Linked DNA regions of Callithrix jacchus. The main gene of each other region encodes a partner of the protein of the gene in region 7 in a complex. Links are inferred from orthologs where the notes say so. Each region holds a gene or a part of one and is shown on either strand. Other genes may lie near its edges. The genes, in order: TMEM107, TMEM216, CEP290, TMEM67, AHI1, B9D1 and CC2D2A.

What was found.
Region 1: CC2D2A (region 7) and TMEM107 share a complex: the UniProt entries of both Homo sapiens proteins name them as parts of the tectonic-like complex. The link is inferred for Callithrix jacchus from reciprocal best matches to the Homo sapiens genes CC2D2A and TMEM107.
Region 2: CC2D2A (region 7) and TMEM216 share a complex: the UniProt entries of both Homo sapiens proteins name them as parts of the tectonic-like complex. The link is inferred for Callithrix jacchus from reciprocal best matches to the Homo sapiens genes CC2D2A and TMEM216.
Region 3: CC2D2A (region 7) and CEP290 share a complex: the UniProt entries of both Homo sapiens proteins name them as parts of the tectonic-like complex. The link is inferred for Callithrix jacchus from reciprocal best matches to the Homo sapiens genes CC2D2A and CEP290.
Region 4: CC2D2A (region 7) and TMEM67 share a complex: the UniProt entries of both Homo sapiens proteins name them as parts of the tectonic-like complex. The link is inferred for Callithrix jacchus from reciprocal best matches to the Homo sapiens genes CC2D2A and TMEM67.
Region 5: CC2D2A (region 7) and AHI1 share a complex: the UniProt entries of both Homo sapiens proteins name them as parts of the tectonic-like complex. The link is inferred for Callithrix jacchus from reciprocal best matches to the Homo sapiens genes CC2D2A and AHI1.
Region 6: CC2D2A (region 7) and B9D1 share a complex: the UniProt entries of both Homo sapiens proteins name them as parts of the tectonic-like complex. The link is inferred for Callithrix jacchus from reciprocal best matches to the Homo sapiens genes CC2D2A and B9D1.

What each region holds. Positions count from the first base shown.
Region 1 is NC_133506.1:74,652,566-74,657,080, reverse strand, and holds TMEM107 (transmembrane protein 107), read left to right. Parts: upstream 1-1,543; 5' UTR 1,544-1,668; coding exon 1,669-1,755; intron 1,756-1,931; coding exon 1,932-1,999; intron 2,000-2,099; coding exon 2,100-2,200; intron 2,201-3,621; coding exon 3,622-3,718; intron 3,719-3,939; coding exon 3,940-4,009; 3' UTR 4,010-4,184; downstream 4,185-4,515. UniProt on the Homo sapiens protein: Plays a role in cilia formation and embryonic patterning. Requires for normal Sonic hedgehog (Shh) signaling in the neural tube and acts in combination with GLI2 and GLI3 to pattern ventral and intermediate neuronal cell types.
Region 2 is NC_133511.1:118,390,623-118,395,159, forward strand, and holds the start of TMEM216 (transmembrane protein 216), read left to right. Parts: upstream 1-1,326; 5' UTR 1,327-1,346; coding exon 1,347-1,359; exon of another isoform or gene 1,360-1,591; intron 1,592-1,916; coding exon 1,917-2,018; intron 2,019-2,546; coding exon 2,547-2,639; intron 2,640-4,537. UniProt on the Homo sapiens protein: Part of the tectonic-like complex which is required for tissue-specific ciliogenesis and may regulate ciliary membrane composition.
Region 3 is NC_133510.1:93,053,094-93,057,094, reverse strand, and holds part of CEP290 (centrosomal protein of 290 kDa), read right to left. Parts: coding exon 3,996-4,001; intron 3,697-3,995; coding exon 3,650-3,696; intron 1,339-3,649; coding exon 1,195-1,338; intron 1-1,194. UniProt on the Homo sapiens protein: Involved in early and late steps in cilia formation. Its association with CCP110 is required for inhibition of primary cilia formation by CCP110.
Region 4 is NC_133517.1:33,426,745-33,431,396, reverse strand, and holds the start of TMEM67 (meckelin), read left to right. Parts: upstream 1-1,528; 5' UTR 1,529-1,547; coding exon 1,548-1,770; intron 1,771-4,652. UniProt on the Homo sapiens protein: Required for ciliary structure and function. Part of the tectonic-like complex which is required for tissue-specific ciliogenesis and may regulate ciliary membrane composition.
Region 5 is NC_133505.1:142,222,984-142,226,984, reverse strand, and holds part of AHI1 (jouberin), read left to right. Parts: intron 1-1,442; coding exon 1,443-1,567; intron 1,568-4,001. UniProt on the Homo sapiens protein: Involved in vesicle trafficking and required for ciliogenesis, formation of primary non-motile cilium, and recruitment of RAB8A to the basal body of primary cilium.
Region 6 is NC_133506.1:83,255,177-83,259,177, reverse strand, and holds part of B9D1 (B9 domain-containing protein 1), read left to right. Parts: intron 1-1,718; coding exon 1,719-1,830; intron 1,831-4,001. UniProt on the Homo sapiens protein: Component of the tectonic-like complex, a complex localized at the transition zone of primary cilia and acting as a barrier that prevents diffusion of transmembrane proteins between the cilia and plasma membranes.
Region 7 is NC_133504.1:178,326,066-178,330,066, reverse strand, and holds part of CC2D2A (coiled-coil and C2 domain-containing protein 2A), read left to right. Parts: intron 1-201; exon of another isoform or gene 202-910; intron 911-1,353; coding exon 1,354-1,557; intron 1,558-2,416; exon of another isoform or gene 2,417-2,640; intron 2,641-3,166; coding exon 3,167-3,259; intron 3,260-4,001. UniProt on the Homo sapiens protein: Component of the tectonic-like complex, a complex localized at the transition zone of primary cilia and acting as a barrier that prevents diffusion of transmembrane proteins between the cilia and plasma membranes.

The DNA.
Region 1 (4,515 bases), on a different chromosome or scaffold from region 7:
GACCTTGTGCTCCTCCCGACTTGGCCTTCCAAAGTGCTGGGATTACAGGTGTGAGCCACTGCACCCGGCCTGTTCTTTTTTTTTTTTTTTTTTTGAGACAGAGTCTCGCTCTGTCGCCCAGGCTGGAGTGCAGTGGCGCGATCTCGCCTCACTGCAACCTCCACCTCCAGGATTCAAGAAATTCTCCTGCCTCAGCCTCCCGAGTAGCTGGAATTACAGGTGCTCGCCATCATGCCCAGCTAATTTTTATATTTTTAGTAGAGACCGGTTTTCACCATGTTGATCAGGCTGGTCTAGAACTCCTGACCTCAGGTGATCTGCCCGCCTTGGCCTCCTAAAGTGCTGGGATTACGGCCATGAGCTACTGCGCCAAATTTTCTAAAATAAAGTTTAAGAACAAATGCCCCATTCTTTTTATAGAATTATAATTGTAGCGTTTCCCTTTTCATAGCATATAGTATCTTGCGGATTTGTTTGCATGTCTATTATTGATCTCCCTGACTAGAATCCACCTACTAGGTAATCAGTAAATACAAACAATATTTGAAGAAATGAGAAATGCCTCTTGGGCATATATTTAGACTGGCTAAAGGCACTGAGACGGGGAGTGAGGAAGAGGAAGCGGTTGTTCTCCGGGGAAATGAGCCGGGAGGACCCTTGAGAATGGGACTTGACAGCATTGCGAGAAGAAAGAGCTTTCCGATCAGCGGGGACCTGCGCTGAAACCCAAAGGTCATGAGGTTGCCGATGATAAGAGCTTCTTGGACTGTAGCTGGGTAATGTCGGAGGCCCAGCACCTCCAAGAGATAAAGAAATCTGATTTGAGTTTCCGTTCCAGTCAGCTCCAAGCCTCCCAGGGATGCAGGGACTGTCCATTCCCTCCATCCACTCCCACCCTTTCCGGTCCCCTTGCTCTGCCATTTTTTGCACTCTGCAAATCCCTCACCAAACTGAGCAAAGTTAGACTGAGAGAAATCAGTCTTCCTCAAGGAAAGTTCAGGCCTGGGGTCCTCAGACATCCAGGGGCTCCGTGACAATCTGTGACTGCTGAGCAGTCTAGGGACACCGCCTCTCCAAGTTCGGGACCCTTGTTTCTGAGGCCAGCTTGGTGGGAAGCTAAAGGCATACGGAGGAGGGGAAGGGGAGCGTGTCTGAGTCTTCGGCATGGCGGGGACCCGGACCTCAGCCCGGCATGGCGGTGGCGCGGCCTCAGGAGATCCACAATTGTCGGTGTAGAAGGGGCTGGGGGCCGCTCCCGGCAACTGCGGAAGCCGAGGTGCCCCCAGGCTAGCCCAGGTCGGTTTCCGTTCGTCGGTCCTGGGCGGGTAGATCGGGCGCTGCGGGGCCGTGCCACCTCGCACCCTCTCAGGAACAAAGGGCTTGGCTACGCGCGGATACCCAAACGTTGGGTTAGAATGGCATTCGGGGAAGCCCTGACCTGCGCAAGCCGGAAGAGGCCAGCAGCAGCTTGAGAATATACTGCTCTCGCGATGTTTTTCGAGAACGCGGCGCCGCGTTCGCGTACGGAGTTACCAAGGTAACTGGGCGGTGCCTGAGCGGGCGGGAAGGAGGCGTTCGTCTAGATTTTGTCCGCTTGCAGGGAGACTTCAGGAGTCGCTCTCTTTGAAATTCCGGCCTCTGAGACCGCCGCCCCTGTTTCCAAGGGCCATGGGCCGGGTCTCAGGGCTCGTACCTTCTCGCTTCCTGACGCTCCTGGCGCATCTGGTGGTCGTCATCACCTTATTCTGGTCCCGGGTAAGACCCACGGCTGACATCCGTCCGCCCCTATTCCCACCTCGGAGTGGTCCCAGCCCCATCTTGCCCCTCTCCCAGTGTCTTACCCACTTAGGTCTTCTCGTTCCCCGCCGCCCCCAGGCCTGCCTCGCCGCCCGTCCCTTTTTCACTTCTCTTCCTCTCTGCTCTGCTCCCAGGACAGCAACATCCAGGCCTGCCTGCCTCTCAGGTTCACCCCCGAGGAGTATGAAAAGCAGGACATTCAGTGAGCTCTCTCGGAATGGGCTGGTCAGAACGGAGAGGTGGTGGGAGTGGAGGGTTCTTAGAAGTCCAAGGGCCTGAGGCTGTCCACTTCCTTTCTGCAGGCTGGTGGCCGCGCTCTCTGTCACTCTGGGCCTCTTTGCAGTGGAGCTGGCCGGTTTCCTTCTAGGAGTCTCCATGTTCAACAGCACCCAGAGCCTCATCTGTATCCTTTCCTCCTGCTCACCTTTCCCACACGACCATTTCCATCAGGACTCCCTTCAGCCACCTGACACCATAGTGTCTGCTGTAACCAATCTCTCCAGTTCGGATATCTTCAAACATGTGCTAAATCCTGCTGTTTACTAGGCACTTAAAATCCCAAAATGAGAGTAAAACAGTTTTCGGCCAGGCACGTTGACTCATGTCTGTATTCCCAGCAGTGTGGGAGGCCCAGGCAGGAGGATTGCTTGAGGCATCATAGTGAGACCCTATGTCTACAAAAATAATAGTAATAATGAGAACTTCACCTTTTTTGTTTATCATGAGGAGGAGGCAGACACATATCTGTAATTCAGTGATAAGCAGGGTGCTATAGGAGTGTGTAAAGAGGGGTGGGCGCGGTGGCTCACGCCTTTATTTCAAGCAACTTTGGGAGGCCAGGACAGGTGGATCATTTGAAGTCATGAGTTTGAGACCAGCCTGACCAACATGGTGAAACACCATTCTCTACTAAAAATACAAAAATTAGCCGGGCGTGGTGACGGCACACCTGTAACCCCAGCTACTCAGGAGGCTGAGGCAGGAAAATTGCTTGAACCTGGGAGGCAGAAGTTGCAGTGAGCCGAGGTTGAGCCACTGCACTCTAGCCTGGGCAACAGAGTGAGACTCCGTCAAAAAACAAACAAGCGGGACACGGTGGCTCAAGCCTGTAATCCCAGCACTTTGGGAGGCCGAGGCAGGTGGATCACGAGGTCAAGAGATTGAGACCATCCTGGCCAACATGGTGAAACCCCGTCTCTACTAAAAATTCAAAAATTAGCTGGGCGTGGTGGCGTGTGCCTGTAGTCCCAGCTACTCAGGAGGCTGAGGCAGGAGAATTGCTTGAACCCGGGAGGCGGAGGTTGCAGTGAGCCGAGATTGTGCCACTGCACTCCAGCCTGGTGCCTGGTGACAAAGTGAGACTCTGTCTCAAACAAACAAACAAACAAACAAACAAACAAAAGGTAGAAAGCACAATGGGAACTCAGAAATGGCAAAGGAAATGAAGCACGTGGGTCAGAGAACTGTGAACCAGGAGTGCTAGAACCCTGGAGGCTGATTCCAGCAGAGCATATCAATTCGCTGTCAGCACTCCTGTGTGGCATGGTAGGAGAGCCTACTCTTACCTCTCATCTGAAGGGTCCAAGCTGGCCTCTAGATGTGGGGTAGGCTAGCCTGAGGTCCCATCTATGCAGTTACTTCTGGTCTCTCCTCATATGACCATCCTACAATTCAGAAGTCAGGGCTGCTGACTCTAGCCCTTGCAATATGGTGAGGGAGCAAGCGATGAACCTGAGTGCAGATGCCAACCCCACCACTGATGTTTTCTGATCCATCACTATCTGTCGATCCAAAGACTTTCCTTAACTGTGGTGCCTTCCCAAGCCATTGGGGCTCACTGTAGTGCATCCGTGGCCCTGTCCTTCTTCATATTTGAGCGTTGGGAGTGCACTACGTATTGGTACATTTTTTTCTTCTGCAGGTGTGGTAACACCCAATATTTGGGGATGAGGGAGGAAGGTTTACCCTAAATCTGAAAGTTTTCCCCCACCCGGTCCCTTCTTCCATGCATGAGATCCTGTAGTCTTTTTCATCCCCCATCCCCATGCCACCTGCCCTATACTTTCAGGGGTGGGGTCTCTAGTTTGGAGATTTGCATATTTATATTGAAAGGATTTCTGAATCTACCACCTGCTTCGGTAGTGCCCTTCCAGCTGTCACTGAAATGGCTTTATTCATCGCCATCTTTGGGCTGAAAAAGAAACCTTTCTGATCACCTTCCTGATGGTCGAAGGCTACATGGGAGGCCGCTTCGTATTCCTGGAAGAAGAAAGGCATAGGCTTCAGTCTTCCCCTTGGAAACTGCTTCTGCTAGAGGATATGTGTTGGATGTATGGGATTATCAGCATTGTATTTAGTGTTTTGTAATAAAATATGTTTTGTAGTAAGATCAAGAGTTATATAGTTTTCAGGGGACAATTGGGATGGCTTAACTATTGAAGAAAAAAACAACTACGCTGTTTTCTAGTCCTGCAGACCGTAAGATACTTGATATCGCTTCTATTTTGGTTATTACGGTAGACGTCTGGGGGAAGGAAGTGGGCGGGGATATGTAAATAAAAGTGCATACAGTTAGAACGTCCAGCACGTAAATGATTGGAGCATTCTGGGAAGAAATAATTTATTCCTTTTCTCAGCTGAATGAAAAAAATTATTTTAAAAGAGATGAAAGCAAATATAGCAATACAATTGGAAGGATGTTAAATAGCAAGGTGGCTC
Region 2 (4,537 bases), on a different chromosome or scaffold from region 7:
CCTGCACAATGGGCTAACAGCCAAGTCAGCCTGAGTCCTCTCAAAACCCTTCCTTATGCACTCCCCTGCCTGCAGCAACACCTTCCCCACCTCCTGTCCCCCTGCCCCCAGACGGAGTATCACTGTCACCCAGGCTGGAGTGCAGCGGCATGATCTCAGCTCACTGCAACCCAACCTCTGTCTCCCAGGTTCCAGCGATTCTCCTGCCTCAGCCTCCCAAGTAGCTGGAACTACTGGTGCACACCACCATGCCCGGCTAATTTTTGTATTTTTAATAAAGATGGAGTTTCGCCATGCTGGCCAGGATGGTTTCCAACTCCCGACCTCAAGTGATCCACCAACCTCAGTCTCCCAAAGTGCTGGGATTACAGGTGTGAGCTACCGCACCCAGCCAGCAACATGCTTTTACCGCTCAAAATCCGAATCAGGAGGCTTTGAAGCCCAGCTCACAGGCCGTCTTTTGGAAACTAACTTCGATTTCCATGTGGGAGCACTTTGTCCTCTCAGCTCTCACTGAACCACTTTATGTATCACGTGGTGACTCGTTTCAATTTGTGCTCCAGGAAAGGACGCTCTATTTCCCTGGTGTCTCTACCTGCTACTAAATAGGCCGCAGAAAAAAACCAATGCTGGCGGGGCACAGTGGCTCATGCCTGTAATCCCAGGACTTTGGGAGGCCGAGGTGGGTAGATCACCTGAGGTCAGGAGTTCGCGACCAGGCTAGGCAACATAGTGAAACCCCATCTCCACTAAAAATACAAAAATTAGCTGGGCATGGTGGCAGGTGCCTGTAATCCCAGCTACTCAGGAGGCTGAGGTGGGAGAATCGCCTGAACCCGGGAGGAGGTCGCAATGAGTCGAGATTGCGCCGCTGGTCCAGACTGGGTAACGAACGAAACTCCGTCTCAAAAGAAAAGAAAAAAAGAAACCAATGCTAACCCCCACCCCGCATTTGCAGAGATCCGTCGCGCACACCGTTTATCGTTTCCGATGAAAAAGGGGAATGGTGGGACTAGGACTTATTTGCCAATCCTGATCATATTGTCACAGCTGGCCACTTCCGCCCAACGCCCGGTAGCCCGAGAGCCTCTGGGGTCCTCCCCCACACCCCCGAGGTCCTGCAGACGACGGCGTCGTGGGCGGCCACTGTTTTAGGTCTGGAACTGGAACATCAAGCGAGAGTCACTTGCCGCCAGGCCCGGGTTCTTCCCGCTCGGGTTGGGCACAGAGCGCCGCGTGCGGTCGGAGAGCCCGGAAGCGCAGGCCGCTCCGTCCCCGTTTCCGGCAGCGCCTCGCTGCTCCTGGAGCCGCGGTGGTAGCGTACGCAGTTTCCATGGGGACTGAAGATGGCGCCGCGAGGTGAGATTCTGGAGGTGTGTGAGTCGCTGGTCCCTTTCCCTTCGGCCCCTCCCTCCCACCTCTGTCCCAGAGCTTGACCTAAACCCTCCTTTCTCAAGCGTTAGGGACTTGGCGCCTCCCTGGTCCAAAGCGGGCTTCCGCGGCCCCGCCCAGCCTGGGTGCCTGAAGGTCTCCGGGTGCGGGGCTCAGATAGCTACACATCCTCGGCTGGGCCTCTTCTAGGCTGGCTCAGGTACGAATATGTGGATCTCCGCGCCCCAACTTCCCCTCCCAAATAGTGACAGGGAGAGATCTTTGATCTCAGTTACCTCTTAACTTGTATCCCTGAAGCCGAAGGATCGAGTTTCACGGTGATTCCTGGGAAAGGAGGGAAGCCCCCTCCACACTCACCTCCGTACCCTCACCCCACTCATTATCAGCAACCAGAAGTGCCCCTAAGTGGCCGGTCCCATTAGTCCACTGCCCCTAGTTTTCCCCAAAGTAGATACCAACCCCTTCGAGGAGCCGAGAGGGAGCCGCCCTCCTGCCCATCCCACTTCTCTGTGCTCCTTTTTCAGGGAAACGGTTGTCCTCCACCCCCCTGGAAATCCTATTCTTTCTGAACGGGTGGTATAATACTACCTATTTCCTGCTGGAACTTTTCATGTTTCTGTATAAAGGTAAGGAAGGCTTGAGGCTTAGACACAGCATCTTTCCCCCACTTCAGGTCAGAGCCGTCTCCTACCAAGAACCTTTTTTGCCCTATGCAGTTCTTTGTCGCTGCAAGGCAGGCCTCCTCATCAGATGGCTTATTTGAGTACGATCCCACAGGTAGCCCCTCAGCAAGAATTTCTTGAATTTGGGAAACAGGGCCTTTCAGTTCTGACTCCGCCCACATTGCTGCTCTTTGCTGAGCTCAGCTGTAAGCCCATTGGTGACCCTCAGAAACTTCAGTGGCCTGTGTACCCTGTATATCCAATCATTTTGGAGAGTGGAGTCCCCAGAGACTTTTGGAGTTAGGGGTAAAATGCGGTAATAATGAGCCGGGGTTGGTTGCACTGTGAGTTTATGTATCCTGCAGCTGTAACACCCACCTCCTAACTAGTTCATGGACAGCTGAGACAGATGTCCTCTTTTTCCCAAGTGTGTGGCAGTCCTTGTGGGTGCCGTTATCTGTTGTTTGCAAACTCTGGCTTTTGTATTGGCAGGTCTCCTGCTACCATATCCAAAAGCTAACCTAGCACTGGATGTGGTGATGCTCCTCCTTTACCTTGGAATTGAAGTAATTCGCCTGTTTTTTGGTGAGTGTCGTCCAGAGAATATTTCCACTCCTTATGAGACAAACTGTAACTTGATTAACAAGAAAAGTACATAACCTAGGTTAACTATCAAAGATTGGATCTGGAGGTATATCCCTTTACTCCCTCTCTGAAGTTTCAAGTTGCTGCTTCTTAATTGGGTCAACATTTACCTGTTCGTTGCTCTCTAAGGCTAGAGATCAGCAATAGCATGGGATATTAGATGATTGATTCCTTTTCAGCTGCCTAACTGCAAGAAGAGTGCCTGGTTCCTCTCACTAGCTTTCTTGGGGAATAGGTTCAGTTATAACTCCATGTCAGGGAGGCAGTATATCCTGCACAGATCAGTCCCAAGATCCCTGACAATTCTCTGAATAAGGATCTCTCGTAGGATTTTATTTTATTTAATTGGAGTTTTGTTCTGTTGCCAAGCTGGAGTGACGTGGCATGATCTCGGCTAACTGTAACCTCTGCCTCCCCGGTTCAAGTGATTCTCCTGCCTCAGCCTCCTGAGTAGCTGGGACTAGGTAGTAGGTGTGTGCCACCACACCAGCTAATCTTTGTATTTTTAGTAGAGATGGGGTTTCACCATGTTGGTCAGGCTGGTCACGAACTCCTGACCCCATGATCCCCCTGGCTTGGCCTTGCAAAGTGCTGGGATTACAGGCATGAGCCACCTTGCGAGGACTGATTTGTGTGTTACAGGCCAGATTTGTTTGTTTTTGAGACGGAGTTTCACTTTTGTTTTCCAGGCTGGAGTGTAATGGCATGATCTTGGCTTCCTGCAACCTCTGCCTCCCAGGTTCAAGCGACTCTCCTGCCTCAGCCTCCCGAGTAGCTGGGATTACAGGCATGCACCACCATGCCTGGCTAATTGTATATTTTTAGTAGAGATGGGGTTTCTCCATGTTGGCTAGGCTGGCCTTGAACTCACGACCTCAGGTGATCCGCCCACCTCGGCCTCCCAAAGTGCTGGGATTACAGGCGTGAGCCACCATGCCCAGCCAGGACTTTTTTTTTTTTGAGACGGAGTTTCGCTCTTGTTGCCCAGGCTGGAGTGCAATGGCGCATTCTTGGCTCACTGCAACCTCCGCCTCCTGGGTTCAACAATTCTCCTGTCTCAGCCTCCCAAGTAGCTGGGACTACAGGCATGTGCCACCATGCCTGGCTAATTTTTTGTATTTAATAGAGACAGGGTTTCACCATGTTTGCCAGGACGGTCTCCATCTCTTGACCTTGTGCTCCACCCGCCTCGGCCTCCCAAAGTGCTGGGATTACAGGCGTGAGCCACCGCGCCCGGCCAGGATTTTTTTTTTTAGCATTTATTTATTTGAGACAGAGTCTCACTCTGTCACCTAGGCTGGAGTACAGTGGTGCGATTATAGCTCACAGCAGCCTTGAAGCCCTGGGTTCAAGCAGTCCTCCCACTTCAGCCCTGAGTAGCTGGGACCACAGGCGTGTGACACCATGCCTGGCTAATTTTGAATTTTTTGTGGAGACAGTGTGTTACCTTGTTGCCCAGGCTTCTCTTAAACTCCTGGCCTCAAGCAATCCTCCCACTTTGGCCTTGCCAAGGTGCTGGGATTACAGGCATGAGCCAACATTCCTGGCCTGTAGGACAAGTTTTATAACCCCAGAAATACAGAGCAAAACCGTTATTTGTTAGAATATGTCATCCCTGAAATCAAAGTTAAAGCAGAAACTTAGGAACAAAATACTTGGAACATATATAAGAAAGGATAGCCGGGCGCGGTGGCTCACACCTGTAATCCCAGCACTTTGGGAAGCCAAGACGGGTGGATCGTGAGGTCAAGAGATCGAGACCATCCTGGTCAACATGGTGAAACCCTGTCTCTACTAAAAATACAAAAAAATTAGCTGGGCATGGTGGTGCATGCCTG
Region 3 (4,001 bases), on a different chromosome or scaffold from region 7:
TTGTTTGAGACAGAGTCTCATTTCTGTTGCCCAGGCTGGAGTGCAGTGGTGCAATCTCGGCTCACTGCAACCTCTTGCCTCCTGGGTTCGAGCAACTCTTCTGCCTCAACTACCCAACTAGCTGGGATTACAGGCACTCCCCACTAGGTTCGACTAATTTTTTTTGTATTTTTAGTGGAGATGGGGTTTTTGCCATGTTGGCCAGGCTGGTTTTGAACTCTGGGTCTCAAGTGAGATTGATTCTCTTAAATAGCATATCACTGTTTTCTTAAAATGTATGACCCTCTATTTCTGAGAGAATAATGAACAAAATGAAATAAACAGAATATAACATAATAATGACTTAAAGGACACAAAGGTAAAAAATGTTTCTGAGTATAAGAGACAGGACAGTTACCACATGTAGGCACCAAATTTTACTAAGTTTACTAATAGCTGAGGTGAAATAAAAAACAAGTAAGTGTTAAATAGAAATGTTAATAAATAAATAAAACATTAAATAAGAAGCTGAGGTAAAATAGGAAATTTTCTTCAAGAAAATACAAATTTACCTGCAAAAAACTTTTTTTCCAAAACTAAATCCCAGGGAACACTGCAAAAATTATTAGTTTACAACAAGGAATAACATGAGTTAATAAAAACTATGTATTAAACATGTTATTTTAAATATCATTGATAAAATGTTGAGATTAACACTTTTCAAAAACAATATATATATATCTCATATATAAGGATACAACCAAAAACAAGAAATTTAATTAAACATTATTGAATGTATCATCAAAAGATTCATTTCCAAATCTACTAATCATATAAATACATTGAAATAAACAAATATAACTTTTATGCAAAATAAACTATGATACTAAGATCACTTCTTTATGCAAGTCTATTAGTTTCTTGACACTAATCTTCCAGACAAAAGCATCAATTTTAGGTAGTAAGTGTGATATATCCTGAGAAAAATGTACCTCCAAATATAAAGAATTAATCTTCAAGTCATATTCACTAAAAGTACCTGTTCCATTATATTTTAAAATTTGTGATGACAAAATGAACAGTGTTATAAAATCTTATAAGTGTACATCATTCCTCAAATATAACATACAATACAAAAATTGATATTGTTACCAATAATTATAAAAAGCCAGGTAACTTGAACAGTGAAGATTCATGGAAAAAAAAGTGCTTTACTTGCTCATTAACTTTCTTCTCTTTCTCCAACTCCTTTTCCATGTCCTCCAATTCTCTATCTTTTCGTTCTAATTGCTTTTCAAGTTGGCGAATTTCATCACGTAAAAACCGAGTATCCCGACCACCTGCAGACCGCTGAGCCATCTCAAAGTAATAAACCCAAAGTATAAATTATATTATATTTTGAAGTTCAAATGATTCAACAATAAGCAACTTATCTTGACTTTAAATTTTCATTATATTTCAGTGCAGATATTTAAAATCATATTAAGAATCTTTTTTTTTTAATTTAACTTACCTAAGCGTTAGTTCACAGCTAGTAAGTCTTTAAACTTCTCCTGAGCCACCCAGAGCTACAAAGAATTGACTGTTAATCATTCTGTTGTAACCACTGGCCAACAGGTAGCAGACTAAAGGCAAAGGTCCTAAGCCGCAGAGATCTGGAACCCGTGTACGAACCATGAGAAACTCCGTCGCTGTTAGTGAAGTTTAGTGCCTTAACCTGCCCTTTCTCTCATATCATGCACTATTTAGACCAGTGCTGCCCAACAGGACTTTCTAGGATAATAGACATGCTCTCTCTGCTGTTCAGTTCAGTAGCCACTTGTTACATGTAGCTATGTTTGGGTATTTGAAGTGTAGCTACTGTAACTGAAGAACTAAATTTTTCATTTTAATTTTAACAAATAGAAATATAAATAGCTAGTGTTAGTGCCACTTTACTGAACAACTCAGGTTTCATTTATCTTTAAGATTTGTAGCCAACTAAATCCATTTTATTTCATATTCTTGTTAATTTAGGTCATGTCCCAGAACATCAAATCATTTGGTCATCTAACCTGTCTCACATTTATCTCTTCACCTTATAGTTCTGTTTTTCCTCTACCTTAACCAAATTTTTCACACTCTTTCTCTCCTTCAAAAAGCATTCCCTGTGCTAAAGTCTTCTTCCAAGATAAATATTTCACAACCTCAGATTATTTACTGAATCATCCTTTCCATCTCCTTGCCTTAGCTGCAATTTGGATCCTTTAGGATACTAATGCCCTTGGAACTCTTTCAGTTGGAAGGTGCTCATTCTTTCACAGCCCATATACATTAGGGTCAGGAGGAGGTGTTGGTACTTCTAGGTTTACTCTACCCTGCAACTTCACGTGATCATTCCTATCATTCCTCCATCATCCTATGAAAACCTCAGCTGCTTTCTCACAAGATATCCAGCTCTCCATCTTTACCTACTCATGGTAGCAGCAAACCACCAACTTCCCAGTGACTCTGCAAAATGTACTGGGAATTTAAGCATGTGCCTCACAGACGTTCATCAAATCCCCAAGCAATTTCCACATAACTTTTGTTCTAGTCTATTTTTTTTTTCTTGTTTCTTGAATTCACTATCATCTCTCACTGACACACCAACATCAAATCCTTGTCCAATCAGAAACATTCTTTCAATTATTCCCACTATGCCTGTCCTTTGACCTCACAGGACACTAATCCCTCGACTTCTCACTCCTTATCCCTACCCTTCTGCCCACCCAACCCCAATCTTGACTTTCTTATCTATTCAGTTGAGACTTCATAATCACCACTTCAACCACTTTCCTACCAATATCTTCAAAACTGTCTTACTCTTCTATTGTATAGCAGGTGCCTATCTAAACATTAACACAGAATTGATTCAACTCCATAATTCATTTAATGAGTATTTATTGAAAGTACTTGGCATTTTTCCAGGAGCTGGATATACAATCAAAATAACAAGTCATCCAAGTTCAGAGAATTAACAAATAAAAGAATCAGGACTAGAACTCAAATCTGTCTGACTCCAGATCCCCAACTCTCCAGTCTTTTCTCCATTACATTTCAAATTTTATCTGATTTTCTTAAAATGTGACCACACCATCTCCCACTCTTTCTAACAGATGACATCATCACTGACCTCTCAACTTCCAGGCACTATGCCTACAAACATAAAGGCTTCTACATACATCTACTGTTCCTCCCCTCATCTACTCTTCCTTCTCTCCTAACACAAGGAAAAGGGTATTCCTTCTTTCAAAGGCTGATCCGTTTCAAAAGCTGATCCATCCCTACCTTTTCAGGAATCTGAATTTAGTTCCTCAACAATACATTCATACTTTAGCCCTCAGCTTTGTAAAAAATTACTTCTATAAAACCCTTTGGTCATTATTCCCCAACTCCCCACCCACGCTCCACCTCAGTTACTAGTAAGCTTTCTATGTATTTCCCAAGACTGCAAGCTCCATATAGCAGTTAACTGTTTTAATTTCATTCACAACTGTATGCTCAATCCGAGAATATATACTGAAAAAGCAAATAACCATGATTACTATCATCCTTATAACTTTTCCAGCCAATAATAATTTTAAAATTTGAAAACAATGCAAAATAAAATTTATGACAATTACATTCTAGGAAATACAAAAAGACATACCTCCAGTTCATTTTCCAGTTTCATTACTTTAGTTTTTAATTGATTTTCTGTTTTTTAAAAAAAAAGACAAATGTTTTCATACATTAGCTACCACAAAACAAACTTTTAAATAAATTTAAATAACAAAATTAATTCTTTTAAAAGACTCCATCATGACTATAAGGTATCAAAAAGAATTATATGGCAGATCCATAAAATAGGAGTCTAGAATTGCTTATTATTAAGTAAATGTTATATATTAAAAATAAACTATATACATCTTATAGAATAAATTTGATTTTCTACAGCTTAATGAACACATGGAATTTATTATTTAATACCATAAACTTTTTTCCAAGTTGCTTACCAAATT
Region 4 (4,652 bases), on a different chromosome or scaffold from region 7:
AGCCGCCGTGCCGGGCCAAAATCATAAAATTCTTATGCTTTCTCCTGAATAGTTCCTTTATTCATCCTCTCCTGCCTCTCTCTTCCTCCATTGCTCCAATTTAGACTCTAGATTTCCATCTTTGCCTTACAAATGGTCTCTACTTCTAACAGTTTCCATATATTTGTCCAGGATTTTTCTTTTTTGCGTGTGACTGTGTCTCTCTTTGACATCCATGCTGGAGTACAGTGGCACAATCACAGCTCATTGCAGCCTTGACCTCCTGAGCTTAAATGGTTCTCCCGCCTCAGCCAGCCAAGTAGCTGGGACCGTAGCCATGTGCCACCCAACCAGCTAATTAAAATAAATTGCATTTGCAGAGATGGAATCTCACTATGTTGCCCAGGTTGGTCTTGAATTCCTGGACTCAGACAATCCTTCCACAGTGGACTCCCAAATGTTAGTATTAGGGGCATGAGCCACAGCACCAGGCTTAGATTATTTTATTCACAAGAGATGTAAAGATTATTTCAATTTATATACAAGTCAACTAAAGAAAAAATAAGGCTTTTAAAGACTCAAAGTTAGTTTTTTTCAGAGTCTTACTGAGGAATGCCACCCTGGAGAGTCTTTCAAAGAGTTTATGTTAGACTGCTCCAGAGCAGCGTTTCTGCCCACAGTTTTTATATCAAGGGGTGGAGTTCTGGATGCGCTCAAAAGTTACATTAAACATGCTCAGAAGTTACATTGGAGCAAAATCTCATCAAAGTTTTGGTTGGAGAGTACATCTGGTTATAGATTACAGAGACATAATCAAAATCATTAATCCTGTCAGTCGTTATCTTATGTACAGGAAGAGGCAAGGGCCAGGATCACTGAACGTATCTTTTTTAAAAAAATGAAGTGATTCAAGCAACAGATGTGGAAACCTGTGCTCTATTCTACTTATTGTCTGTAGGGCATTCTTCTGGAGGACTTCGTTCAGTCACTGAGTCAAGGGCTTTGTGAAATTCCGCTGGCAACAGAATGAGTAAACAGTTTTCTTCCGCTTCGTACTTTGTCTCACATACATGATTTCCTGTGCTCAAACCTGGCAGGAAAGATTTTTTTAAAAATTTTCAATCTTTTCTCTATAGTAATCCTTCACTGGGTTTTAAGTCAGTGTGTTGTTATTTTTTGTTATTATTTTTTTTTTTTTGACGGACTGTCAAATTGTTAAACAAGTTTCCTTTAAGGTTAAAATCACCTAGTCTGAATAAATTCTGATGTAAATATAATTCAATAAATTATGATATTTTCAATTTATGATGGATTTATTGCGGGGAGGCGGTAACCCTGTCGTAAGTCGAGGAGCTCTGCACAAGTTCAAAAATACCGTTGGGCTTTAGCCGGCCTTTAACCCATTCTTTACTGGACTTGTCAACTTCCGTCAGGATTGGTAACCTAGCAACCAAGCAGCACCAGCAGAGACTTCCGGTACCCAAACTTGGGTTATCCAATCAGCTTAGCGGAGTTACCGCAGAGGCTGATGGGACGCTGGAGCCTGGGCGGCTGCTAGCGTCGGTACCATGGCTACGCGCGGTGGGGTTGGGGTGGCAATGGCGGCTTGGTCCCTTTTATCTGCCCGAGCCGTGACTGCGTTCCTTCTGTTGTTACTCCCTCGCATCTTACAGGCCCAGACCTTCTCTCTCCCTTTCCAGCAGCCGGAAAATTGCGATAACAACCAGTACTTTGATATCTCCGCGCTCTCCTGTGTTCCGTGTGGAGCTAACCAGAGGCAGGATGCCCGAGGTAAGACGGCTTGAAGTGGGCCCTGGCAAAAGTAACACTTCCGCCTTGGTCTGCCCCTAGTCTCTGGAGTCATTCAAACACCTTTTCGTCTGCAGTAGAAATGTATCAGAAAAGTTAACCGCGGAAGTCTCAGAAGAGGGTTTTCTGGAAGGATTGCAGTTTGCACACGAATGAAGTGGGAGATTCTGAGTCGGCTACCCAATGAACCGTTGCCTGTAGTTCGTTTCTCGGTGCCAGTCCCCGACTCCTCATACGGGGGTCTTCAGGGCGACACCCGGAATGCTGTTTACCGAAGATAGAGAAGAACTAGTAGAGAAGTAATCTGAGGTAAACGGGAGCAGGTGACAGGAAAGATTAGGGAGGAAGAACAAACTAGCACTTGTGAACCTCAATAGCCCTACATCATTTTTTTCCTTTCTTTGTTTCTTTTTTTTTTTTGGACGGAGTCTCGCTGTGTCACCCAGGCTGGAGTGCAATAGTGCGATATCGGCTCACTGCCACTTCCACCTCCCGGGTTCAAGCGATTTTCTTGCCTCAACCTCCTGAGTAGTATGTATGTATGTATGTATATACAGGCGTCCGCCATCACGCCCGGCTAATTTTTTATTTTATTATTTTATTTTATTAGAGACAGGATTTCACCATGTTGGTCATGCTGGTCTCAAACTCCTGCCCTTGTGATCTGCCCATCCCAAAGTGCTAGGATTACAGGCATGAGCCACTGCACCCGGTCAGCCCTACATTTTTCTTTTCAAATCCCAGACGTTTAGAACTGGAAAGGACCTTAATCATAATCAGATCCAGTCTTCTCATTTTACGGATAAGGACATTCAGGCCCAGATGGGGACTGAAAGAATAAATATCCCTGCTCTCAGTCTTGACCTATGTGTTTTCACGATTCCTCCCTCCCTCCTTCCTTTCCTTTCTCAGTCTTGGCCTGTGTGTTTTCACTATACTGTTTGTTTCTTTCTCTCTCTCTCTCTCTCTCTCTCTCATCTCTCTCTCTCTCTGCCTGTGTGTTTTCACCATACCCTCCCTTCCTCCCTCCCTCCCTCTCTCTCTCTCTTTCTTTTCTTTCTTTGTCTTTCTTTCATTTCTCTTTATTTTCTTTTATTTTAGTTTCTTCTCTGACAAAGTCTGGCTCTGTCACCCAGGTAGAGTGCCCTGGCTCAATCTTGGCTCACAGCAGCCTCTACCTCCTGGCCTCAAGCCATCCTCCTCCCACCTCAACCTCCCAAATAGCTGGGATTACAGGACCTCACCAGTTTTTTTGTAGAGATGGGGTTTTTGCCATGTTGAGGCTGGTCTCAAACTTGTGAGTTCAAATGATCATCCACCTTGGCCTCCCAAAGTGCTGGGATTAAAAGAGTGAGCCACTGAGCCTGACCCATACTATGCTGTATGCCTCTAATACAGATTTCCTTAGGACTTGTCCTTTTTATCATAGAATATTACTCATTATTCTTAAGGTCTCTTTAGATTAAATCTATTTTTTATACCTAAAACATCATTTGTTCCTAGTTCTCACTGAAACTGCTCAGAATGTCTTTTCCCATATTCTAAAGTCTAAGATGTTTTCTTTTCTTTTCTTTTTTGAGACGGAGTTTTGCTCTTGTTACCCAGGCTGGAGTGCAATGGCATGATCTCAGCTCACCGCAACCTCCGCCTCCTGGGTTCAGGCAATTCTCCTGCCTCAGCCTCCTGAATAGCGGGAATTACAGGCACGTGCCACCATGCCCAGCTAATTTTTTGTATTTTTAGTAGAGACGGGGTTTCACCTTGTTGACCAGGATGATCTTGATCTCTTGACCTCGTGATCCACCGGCCTTGCCCTCCTAAAGTGCTGGGATTACAGGCTTGAGCCACCGCACCCGGCAAAGATGTTAAGATGTTTTCTATCTCAATTTGGTCACCCATGTTATTAACTTTCTGGCATGTTCAGCTTTGACATATCCTCATTTAAGTTCTCGAACAGGTCAGGCTACACATGTATGGCAATATGAATGAGAAAGCATTTCAGAAGTTAAAATGTAAGATATTTTTTCATATTTATGAATATGGAAAGGTATAGTTCCATATCTATGAATCCAGATATGGTATGTATTATACTACATAGACTCCTATGAGTGCTGCTTCTACCTAATGACTCCTTAGAGAATGCTGTCCTTATCTATACTGCAAATTGAATAGTGATTATCTTACTATGTTTACTATCTATCTTAACAGAGAGAAACAGTGATTTATTTGAATGAAGGCAACTTCCCTAATAAGGAAAGTAATTAAGAAAATGAGTTTTCTTCTCATTTTACAGATAAAGACATTGAAGCCCAGATTGGGAACTGGAAACATTCATATTTGTTTGCTCTCAGTGTTGACCTATATGTTTTTACTATACTGTATATTTCTTTTTTTTATTTTATTTTAATTAATTAATTTATTTATTTATTTGAGACGGTGTTTCACTCTTGTTACCCAGGCTGGAGTGCAATGGCGTGATCTCGGCTCACCGCAACCTCTGCCTCCTGGGTTCAGGCAATTCTCCTGCCTCAGCCTCCTGAGTAGCTGGGATTACAGGCATGCGCCACCATGCCCAGCTAATTTTTTGCATTTTTAGTAGATATGGGGTTTCACCATGTTGACCAGGATGGTCTCGATCTCTTGACCTCGTGATCCACCCACCTCGGCCTCCCAAAGTGCTGGGATTACAGGTGTGAGCCACCGCACCCGGCCCCTATTTCTTTCTTTTGTTTTGAGAGGGAGTCTTGCTTTGTTGCCAGGCTGGATGCAGTGGCCCAGTCTCGGCTCACTGCAACCTCTGTCTCCCAGGTTCAAGTGATTCTCTTGCCTCAGCTTCCGGACTAGCTGTGATTACAGGCGTGCAC
Region 5 (4,001 bases), on a different chromosome or scaffold from region 7:
AATTTATATTTTATACATTTAAAGTTTGGATTATTTTCATTTTAAGGGATTCTTTAACCGATTAATGAATACAGTAGGTGTCATTTACCAAATATGCTACACTGTAGAGATATTTATTGGTTTTGTATTCAGTTTTCTATTTAATGTTGTGATTAAGGTTATTATATATTTAATGAATGGTAGTTTGGGACTCAGCTGAACAAAGTAAATAATGATTACAACATAGGGTTAATTTTTATTATTTATCATCAAAATTGAATGTTTTACTCCACCACAAGCATTGGCAATCTTTTCTGAAAGGGCCAGCTAATAAATATTTTAGGCTTGGTCTCTATTATAACTACTCAACTCTGTCTCTTGCTCTATCTCTTTTAAAACATGAAAGCAGTTACAACAATTCCTAATCAAATAGACCTGTCTGATTTCAGTAAAACTTTACAAAAACAAGTGACTAGCCTGCAGGCCATCGTTTGCCAACAGTTGCTCTAGAGTACCCATTCATTCAACATTTATTAATTTAAAACATAATGACTGAGTATGTATACTGTGTCAGACCTCATAGTAGTAGCTAGGGATGTAGTTATGGGGAAAACAAACAATATATTCTTTATATAGATATAAAAATGATTATATGATTTCCATTTGTGTTAAGTGCTGTGAAGGAAGAGAACAACCTGCTATGTGATAAAAAGGAAAATTTAGTTGTCAGATGTTTTATTTAGAGACAGCATTTAAACAGACAGGTTAACCCCCAGCCAGGTGAGGAGTTAGAGGAAGCTTGCCTCAGAAACAGCTTCATGTCGGAAGGAGCTTGCTGTGACGGAGGAGGAAGGGTATTATAGCTAGAACATAGGCATCTAAGAGGATATTTGTCTTGATTTCAAGCTCTAGAGATAGATCAGGAGGTATGGAACCCTGTAGGGCATGTGACAGACTTATTTTATCCTAAATAAAATGGGAAACTTTTATGGGCTTAATCATTACCTGATTCATGTTTTAAAGAAAAATTTTTTTGTAATGGTAATATTTGTGGATTACTGATGACAGGCTTGGCAGGCCTTAGCCATTTTTCATGCAAAATGATCTTGGACATAGGATAATTGTGATTTTTCAGATATAGAAAATGAAGTTCAGGAATGTTAAGTAACTTGTCTAAAGCCACATAACATGTAACTAACAGTGGTAGATGCTATTGTTTATCAGAAATAAAAAGTTAATTCAGCAAAGGAGACTTTTAGAGTCAGTGGCCAAAAAGGTCAGAAGGATACAAGTGAATGTTGTGTCACTAAAGTCAAAGTAAAAAGTGTTTAAGAAGGAAGGACTAGCGAGTGTTTCTAATGTAGCTAGAGGATTCACGCAGGTATTTACAAGGCTTGATTTCTTAACATAAGAGTAATGTGTTATAATAGAGTTGTTTACAGAATGACATGACTCTTTTGTAGCTGAGAGTGAAGCAAAAGTAAAAACCAAAGTTCGCTTTGAAGAATTGCTTAAGACCCACAGTGATCTAATGCATGAAAGGAAAAAACCAAAGAAAAAACTTGTCAGGTCTGGAGAAAACATCTCGGTAAGTAATCATCATTTGGTAATGGTGATTTACATATCTGCATAAAATGGCTGCATATAATTAAAAACAGTAACATTATGTCATGGTCAATAACACATAGTAAAATAAAGTTGACATTAGAATCGACATCACTGTTGGAGTATTGAGTTCATTCTTGAGTGCTGCCCTACAAGAAGAACATGCACACAGTGGGGAGAATGACCAGAGATAGTGGGGAAACTCAAAACTAGCCATGATAAGATTTTTGTAGAAAATCAGTATTTTTTTTATTTTTCGAGACAGAGTTTCGCTCTTGTTACCCAGGCTGGAGTGCAATGGCGCGACCTCGGCTTACCGCAACCTCCGCCTCCTGGGTTCAGGCAATTCTCCTGCCTCAGCCTCCTGAGTAGCTGGGATTACAGGCACGTGCCACCATGCCCAGCTAATTTTTTTTGCATTTTTAGTAGAGACGGGGTTTCACCATGTTGACCAGGATGGTCTCGATCTCTTCACCTCGTGATCCACCCGCCTCGGCCTCCCAAAGTGCTGGGATTACAGGCTTGAGCCACCGCGCCCGGCCCCGGAAATCAGTATTTTTAACCCAGAATTGTGAAGAACTTAGGAAGTAGTATCCTAACTTCAGCTATTGAATGGCTTGTGCTTGTTGAAACTTTTTTCTGTATGGTTCTACCCAGCAGAACCAAGAGAAATCAACGGCCTTAAGGCAATAGTTATCCTTTTATGTTTGAGGCACACTTTCAAATGATAGAATTTTTGGCAGCACACTTGAAGGGATTAAAAATACAGTGCTCAAAGTAACATTAAGCAAATCAGCAACTAACTACAATCTGATCCCCTTGGTATCATAAAGTCTATATTGGCATCCACAGTTAATGCAGTATGCACTCTTTATACCCATCTCACTACTTCAGTTGCACTTTTTGCTACTTTGACTGTTACGTTTTCTGTCCTCACAGAAAAAAATAAATAGGTTATTGTACATTTCAGACTTCTCTCTAAAAACACTAAATCCAAAAGACAATAGAGAAATATTTAGTGTATTAAGGGAAAAATTGTAGCTCAAGGAATCTAGTTACTCAAGTTGTCAGTCATTTGTGAGGGTAGTTGTAAACATATGTGCTTTATTGGAGAAATATTATCAGCATTCCCTCCCTGAAAAAAAAAAAAAAAAGATTGAAGATTTATCAGAGATGTAGTACCATTTCTAGATGTGAATCAAAGTTAAGAATTTAAGAATAGAACATCTTAAGATCTTAGATGGAGAGATGAACAGAAGTTCATTCCTTAACAGGGGTACAAAATATAGTTAGAAGGGATAAGTTCTAGTAGGGAAATTACAGTTAATAATTTATATATTTCAAAATAGCCAGAAGAGAAGATTTATGTTTCCAACATAAAAGATAAATGCTTGGAGTAATGGATATCTCAGATCCTCTGATTTGATCATTACACATCATATATGGTATCAGAATATGACATGAACCCCCAAAATATATACAACTCTTATATATCAATATAAAAATTTTAATGGGAAATTTATGAACTGAAAATACCATTGGATGAACTTTGAAATCAATTAAACATGTAGAACTTTTTTAATTATTATATATGTCCAGAATAATTCCTGAAGATTTTACATTAGATATGTATAATTGATAATGTGAGATAACAGAACAAATTGGTTTCAAAGATTGAGCAAAGCATCCTAGCTTACAAAGGAACGAAAAGTCAGTAGCTATTACTCCTATCCCTAGTGTATAGTCAAAAGTTATATTTCATCCTAGAGTTTGAAATAAAACAAATGACATATGTCAAATAGATTATTACACTTTCTAAGTCATCAGCATTAAAAATATCAAGTGAGATTTTTTAAAAAGAAAGCAATGAAATAAGAAAATTAAGAGCAAACTCAGTCATGACAATAAATGTAAATAGTTTAAGCTTTCCATTTTAAAAAACGATTCAAAAATAGATTTTTAAAATATCAGGACCAGGTGTGGTCGCTCGTACCTGTAAGCCCAACACTTTGGTAAGCCGAGGTGGTAGAATTGCTTGAGTGCAGGAGTTCAAGACTAGCCTGGGTAACATAATGAGATCCCATCTCTCAAAAAATAAAGATTTATCTGGGCATGGTAACATGTATCTGTAGTCTTAGCTACTTGGGAGGCTGAGGTGGGAGGATTGCGTGAACCTGGGAGATGCAGGCTGCAGGGAGCCGTGATCATGCCACTGCATTCCAGCCAGAGTATAGAGCAAAACCCTATCTCAAAAATAATACTAATATGAAATAAAATATCAAGTATTTTGCTTGCAAGATTCACACATTAAACAAAATGACAAGTTTAAAAGTAAAAGTGCAAAAATATAGACAGTTCTGAAAAGAAACTTACAACTGTCTCATTTATGAATTTGTATTCAAAGAACAAAAAATCCT
Region 6 (4,001 bases), on a different chromosome or scaffold from region 7:
CAGGAGCATGCTCGGCATGTTTGAGGACCAGCAAGGAGGCCGTGTGGCCCCTGGAGAACGAGCCAGCAGGAAAGCAGCTGGAGATGGAGCAGGGAGGCACCAGGGTGGATCTTATAGGACTTAGAAGGTCAGAGTAAGGACTGTGACCTTTACTCAAAGGGATTGGGGTCCCCGTGGAGAGCTTTCAGCAGACAAGAAAGCGATCTGACTTGTGTTTTTAGAAGATTCCCTGGTTTCTATGACAAGGATAGACTTCAGGAAAGGGCAAGAGCAGGCAGCACAGTTGGCTTTGACAGCAATGCAATGAGAGAGGAGGGCAGCAGCGGTATGGTGGCGGGAGGGCTGGACTGCAAGTACACCCTGAAGATAAAGCCGCTGGGCTCTTCTGGTGGATGTGGGGTGTGAGAGAAGGAGGAGCTAGAATTCACAGCAGGGCTTTTAGCCTGAGCACTGAGAAGTAGGGAGCTGCCTTTCAGTGAGAAGAGCAGATTGGGGAGCGCTACCTGGAGCTCAGCCTGGTGTGGGTTAAGGTTGAGGCGCCCACTGGAGGAGGTGCTGATCCACAGTACAGAGGCAAGGACCAGGATGGAGACATAAATTTGGGAACCTTTGACATCTAGAGCACATCGAAAGCCATGAGACAGATGAGATCACCAAGTACAGGTAGAGGAGCTGGCCAAAGATGCAGCCTTAGGACGGCACACTGAGAAGGAACCAGCAAGAGCCACCAAGCAGGGCCACCCTGTGCAGTGGAGAGACCCAGAAGCCAACGGAAGACAGTGTATCAAGGAGGAAGCAACTGTATCAGGCGCTGCTGATGGCTCAAGTAACACAAGGACGGAGAAATGACTGTTTTGCATCTGGCAATGCTGATCATGGACATTGTTGGAGAAAACCCTTTGGTAGAGTGCTGGAGCCAGCAGTCACATTGGAGTGGGGTCACAGAAGAATAGCAGGGGAGGGGCCCGTGCAATGGCTCATGCCTGTAATCCCAGCACTTTGGGAGGCTGAGGAGGCAGATCATGAGGTCAGGAGTTTGAGACCAGCCTGACCAACATGGAGAAACACCATCTCTACTAAAAATACAAAAATTAGCTGGGCATGGCGTGCCTGTAATCCCAGCTACTCAGGAGGCTGAGGCAGAAGAATCACTTGAACCTGGGAGTGAGCCGAGATCACTTCACTGCCTTCCAGTCTGAGGCGACAGAGTGAGACTCTGTTTAAAAAGAAAAAAGAATGGTAGGGGAGAAATTGGATCTGGTGAGTGAGGCAGCTCTTGGAAGCAGTTTTGCTGTAACGGAAGCAGAGAATGGGTTGGTGGGTGGAAGAGGCAGCAGAGTTGAAAAAGGACTGTGTGATGGACAAAATACATCTATGTGCTTACCAATGGGGATGCTCGGATGCGGGTGGGGATGCAGGGGAGTGCAAATACTGCTGGACCATTTCCTTCCGTGTAGCAAGAGCTTGGGAACAGATCCCAGTGCCCTTGTGCCTGGGAGAGTGGCTGGCCTCCCAGGGTTGTCACACACACTACCACATTAAAGTACCACACTTAAGAGGTATTCCATCATCTCTTAGTCCCCTTTGTTTGAAATCTAGTGTCTTGGGAGAAGATAGCTGAGAAAACAGCCTTCCCAGCTGCCTGCTGAAGGTAAGGGAGGAGCCACAGCAGCTTGACTCTGATCTGACTCTAGCTGTCTCTGTCATTGTCCCCACAGGGTCTGGAAGAGGGGATCTCACAGATCACATCTAAGAGCCAAGATGTGCGGCAAGCACTGGTGTGGAACTTCCCCATTGATGTCACCTTTAAAAGCACCAACCCCTATGGCTGTGAGTCTGCAGGGGCCCTGCAGGGTAGGGTGGCAGAGCTTTCACACAGCACCCCCAAGACGGCCTTTGCCTCATCCAGCCCATGACTGTTCACATTCACATTGTCACCTGGGCTCTTGAAGCAGCCCTCAGCACTCTCTCTCTCACCATCTGTCCCTTTCCCTCCTCTTCCTCATCTGTGCTCACCCTGGTTCATCTGCTACAGCTGTGCAGCTGGCCTTCTGGAAGTTCAGAGTGGATCAGGGCCAGTGACCATGCCTGTAAAAGGCAGGCCCCTCCCTGGTATGCAGGGCTGCAGCTGTCTGGCCTGGAGGTCTGACTCCGTGCCTGTTGACTTCCCGTGGCCTGTTGTGTTCCGACCAGACCCTGGCACTTGCTCCTCCTGTGCTAGCCCCTCAAGTTCCTTCATCTGAGCTTCATTCATGCTGATCCCTCTCTCCAGATAGCCTTCCCATGTCCTACCTCCAACCTCTTTCCCAAGGGCTTCCTGGCTGGCATTACTTATTTTCTACCCTGCCTGGTGCTTATTAACCACGCTGATCTTCCACTTGCACTTAATAAGTGCCTACTGGCTTAGTCTCCATGGGACATTGAATACTTTCCCTATGTGAACTCATCTGAGCTTCCCAATCATACCTGGTAGGTAGATTTCTCTCCATTTCTTCTCCCATATGAGGAAACTGACACTCAAAACTGACTTCACTTGCCTTCTGCTTTACATCTACTGACCAGGTGTGGATTTTCATTCAGGCCCCTCTGATTTCACGATCTAGGCCTTTCTGCTGCATGTGGCCTGGGCCTAGGCTCACCACAGTGTTGAGGGTCAGGAGCAGAAAATGCCTGGTGGTCCTCTTGGGCAGGGAATTCCATTCTGCTGTCATCATCTATGAATAGGAAGCTGCAGTCGACTTCCTGTAATAGTGCAGTAAGTACTATAGGAACTCAGCCAACCTCCTCCTGCTGAAGACAGGTAGGAGAGGTAAATGAAATACACAAAGGCAAAAACAAAAAGCAACTACCTCAAAGGCATCAGAGAGCTAGTGAAGTAGAAGAGATTTACCAGGCAAGATCCAGGAGAAGAACAGAAATCCAGAGGTTACCCCCATCCCATCTCCCCTGGGAGTGTTTGCTGATTCCAATAGAGGTGATTGAGAGACTGATCAAGACTTTTGACAGCCTCTCTGGGCCCAGGACACACACAAAAAACTGATGTTCAGAGCCTTCCAAGGGGTTGGGAGGAGGGCCTCAGGTAAATCTCTGCAAACTGGGTTAAGACCCAAAGAGCTGCCCTAGGAATAAGGGAGAGATGGAAGCAAAGCAGCCTCACAGGGATTGTAGCCTGGCCCCTGATAATTTCAACCTCCTGATTTTTGCATTCAGCTCCAAGATTGTTACACCCAAGGCACCTGGCAAAAGCAAATAAGAAACCTCTTTTGGCTAGGCATGGTGGCTCATGTCTGTAATTCCAGCACATTGAGAGGCTGAGGCAGGCAGATCACCTAAGCTCAGGAGTTTAAGACCAGCCTGGGCAATATGGCAAAAATCCGTCTCTGCTAAAAATACAAAAATTAGCCTGGTGTGGTGGTGGGCACCTGTAAACCCAGCTACTTGGGGGGCTGAGACAGAAGGATTGCTTGAGCCCAGGAGGTCAACGCCACTGTACTCCAGCCTGGGTAACAAAGTGAGAACCTGTCTCAAAAAAATAAGAAAAGAAGCCTCTTTGGAAAAATATAACATTTCATAGACATCAAATTATTTCTATGTATTTTTTCAAATGTAATATCTGGCATATAATAAGGCACATAAGAATCAAGACAACATGAATGATAACCAGCAAAAATAAGGCAATAAGGCAATAGAGATAAACAGACTCTCTAGATACTGAAATTGTGAGATACATTTTTACCATGATCAAAAGAGATAAAACACATTGAGAATTATGGCAGAGAATTAGGAAGCCTACCTTTTTTTAAAATTGCAGAGTCTTGCTCTGTCTCTTTGAGTAAAATGGTAGGATCTCAGCTCACTGCAACCTCTACCTCAAACAATTCTCATGCCTCAGCCTCCTGAGTAGCTGAGATTACAGACATGTACCACCATGTCTGGCCAATAATTTTTTGTATTTTTAGTAGATACGGGGTTTCACCATGTTGGCCAGGCTGGTCTTGAAC
Region 7 (4,001 bases):
ATTTCAGGACACTTGCTCTTTTCATCACAACTTAAAGCACTGATGGCGCATTTTAAGAAATCTGTGTTTTGCTTGTTTTCTTGTTGATGGTTATCATTTAGGTTTCACTGAAGTATTTACCAGATAAATTGCTCATATCTACCTTAATATTCAAAATTCTTTCTTTGGGGAATTTATGAATAAATTGGAACATTAGTTAACTTTTCTTGGTATTGAATACAGTTGGTTTTATTGGCAACTTCATTATTCACTCAAAGCCATAATAAACAAGTAGGTAATCCAGAGCATAGCCCTAGCAACACATTCTTATGATCATGGCTATTAGTATGAATTTATCATTAGGATAACTGTAGTCGGTATGAACATTTTCATTTTTGTTCTAGTTTATCCAAGTCCCATAACAAACCTTAGTTTATTCCGACTTTTATCTTTATAAACTCTCCTTCAACATAATATACCTAATAGAAATGCACGCCTAATAGAAATATTAGGAAGAATGGGTCATATTACCTAAAATGTAGTCTATTCCATGTAAAGTTTCAAATCACATTTCAATAGACATATCACTTTCATTATTTTCTTTTTAACTATATGTTTTCCCATCAAAGAACAAAACAGAGATTGCCTTCTTGACTGGTCTCTTGTTATGGACCAGGATTTTCACAGCAGGGTTGCCTTTCCCATGCAAGACCCCAGCACATCTTGGGGCACTCCTCTGCTCAGGAGGAAGTTACAGCCAGCAAAGTGCCAGGCAGAGAGGCAGGCAGCAGGCCTGGGTGAAGTGCAGTCCATTTCTTCTCAGAGGTGTCCGGACCGGGCCTTCTTAAGACAATGCATAGGAGCTTTGGAGGCTGGCTGACCTGGATCCATCTCTGGCTCATTTTTCTCAGTAACCAAGGCTGTCATTTTCCTGTCAGAGACAGGAAGGCATGGTTGTAAAGCTGACCAGCTGCCTCTGAGGCCTTTATCTGCATATGTGCATGATATTAAAAAGTCACATATTTGATTTTATATACAATACATATATGAGTATTTCTAGTAGGGACCTAGTAATACACTGTAGTCTGGAACAAATCTCTTCTTTTTTGGTCTGTATATTCGCATAATAACACTACTAGGGAAACATGCACAACAACAGTGAAACGTAATTTTTGTTGTTTGGAAAAATGATTTCTGATATTTTTTACAGCTACTAAGTGAATATAATGACATGTGACTCATTATATTTTAAAGTATTTTGTCTTTCAAGTCTTTTAATTTAAAATTGTTAAATGTTCCTTGAAGCTCAGTGCCAAGTTTCTTTGGATGAAATCTGCCTGGCATCTAGAGTTTTGCATTTTCTGTTTTTTATAGGTTGCTACCAGTGGTGAATCCTATGTCCCTGATTTCTTTAGACTGGAGCAGCTGCAACAGGAATTTAACTTTGTTTCAGATCAAGAATTAAATAGATCCAAACGATTCAGGCTTCTTCTTCTTAGAAGCCAAGAGGTGCCAGAATTCCGAAATTATAAGCAAATTCCAGTCTATGACCGAGAAATTATGGAAAAGGTATTTCAGGTAAGAAATTGCCATAGAGGGGTTAATAAAAGAATAAAGTACCTGTGGTGCTGTTTAGTATATTATTATATATGTATTTTGTTTTTGTTATGCTGTCACCAGCAATAGCAGTTTCTCTTTATTGCACTTTTATATATAACCTTCCCATGCGTTTTCTTGAATTCACCATTTGAATAATCTCTCTGCCTCAATATAGTGATATATAAACGAATCAGTTACCAGGATTTTGAGTCAACTGAACCACGTACAATTAGAATTGTAGAATTGAAAATATCTTAAGGGTTAATAAGGCTAATAATATGGCTAATTACTGAATGTCTTAGGAATTCAATTCCATAATGTAGTACTTACTAAGCATAATATACTCAGTACAGTGGTAAAGCACTAGGGAAAACTAGGGGGACAGAATCTGAATATCCATAGGGTTGGTGGGCAGGGCTGGGCATTCATCCTGGTCAAGGGCAGCAGGAGAAACAAAGACTCAGAAGAGAGCAGATTACATCTCTGGGCATGGGGTAGAGAAGCCTTTGAGGAACTGCAGGTAACAGGCCTGTGTAGGGGAGGGGCAGGCCAGTGAAACCAGACACATGCACTTTTTTTTCTTTTTCCCTGCTTTCATGAGCTGTAGACACACACACTTTTATTAATACTTAATAAGGTAAATGGAGAGCCATCAGGAATTAGTACCAGGAAGATTTTTCATGCCAAAACTATTCTTAAAGAGTATGTTTGGTTATTTGGTTCTTCTCTATATTCGTTTGGACTTTGATCACAGGAGATAAAAGCCCAATTTTGAACTACCTTAGGTACCGCGGGGAGTGTCTACGGGATGATGAAATCTCAAAATAGTACTAAATACCTAAAAGCGTTGAATGGCATGAGTGCGTCAGTGCCTGCTGCCAGGACCCTTCTGCTTCCTCTCTCGGCTTCTTTGATATGTTGGCTTCATGTTCCTCCTTTGCAGACAGGTTTTCTCTAGTTGGCCACGTGGTCACCAACATCACACAAGTTCATATCTAGTTTCTTCACCCAGCAGAGATGTGTCCTCTGAGCCTGGGTTAGGTACCACTTCCAGGTGTTCCACTGTGACCAGATGGTGGGATTAGAGAACATAGCAGTTCCCAGGGCACATACATAATTTTATTGACAGACAAAGCCAAATGTATGCATCACTCTCCTCCAAGCAGATGACCTGACTCAGCTGCAGCTAGGTGTTATGTCATGATGGTAATGTTTTAACTTGAAATTTTTACTATTTTTGTAATGGCTTTACTAAAGGCAAAACTTAAGCAGGAGCTTTGGCTAAGTTGCTTGGAAAAGCTTTTCTCTTATATTTTGTGGCCTCTATTTCTCCCTGACTTAACATTTTAATTTGTAACTACTGTACAGAATTCTCTTCTACTAGTAAGGCATTTCAGCTACCTGTCTCAGAATCCTGGTTACTGCATTGAAGACTAATTCTGAACCAAAAGTTAGAAAGAAGGTGGAAGAAATATTTAAAACCACAATTTATAACTTAAATCATATGTGATAAATAATTCCCTGATCTTAAAAATAGCACTGGAGAGTGCTTTAAAATCATAAAATCATTACCTCTTTTTAATTTTAGGACTATGAGAAACGGTTACGAGACAGAAATGTAATTGAAACCAAGGAACACATAGACACCCACAGGGCCATAGTAGCCAAGTACCTCCAGCAGGTGAGAAAAATCATATAAAACTGTCTTCAGAGGGGGAAAAAAAGCCAGCATCCGAAGGTGAAAAGTCCTCTACTTTAATAAATATCTATGTGAGCTTATGCAAGCCACTTAGCTTGCAAAAATTTCCTCATAAATACAAATATGTAATTGATTGACAACTATTATCACCTTTCAAGTATATGAAACCACTAGGATATGTCCTGGTTTATTATTAGCAGTTATCTTTTAATGGGGCATAGTTACAAGGGATTCAATTTCTAAGTATGTTTTTTCTAATATTTGAATGTTGCCATTGAGTTACAATGATTACCTTTGTAATCAGAAAAAAAAGTCTTTAAACCATCTAATAACTGCCCTTATGCACTAGAAAACTAAAAATTAAAGCTGAAACATCCTTTTGTTTATCCTTTTACCTTTTTTGTTTCCTTCTTTTCTTCCTTCCTTCAATTAACTGAACTTGCCAGAAATGCTACAGTGCATTTTCCCTATCCAGTTTATCTGCCCTGTGGCTCATGTATTAGGAAAAAAAAATGACTTATAACATTTAAGAGGTTATTATTTTTATTTATGTATGTATTTGAAACAGGGGGCTGGCTCTGTCGCCTAGGCTGAAGTGCAGTAGCATGATCTCAGCTCGCTCTTAACTTCTGCCTCCCAGGCTCAAGCCATCCTCCCACCTCAGCCTCTTGAGTAGCTGGGATACAGGTGCACACCACCATGCCTGGCTAATTTTTATATTTTT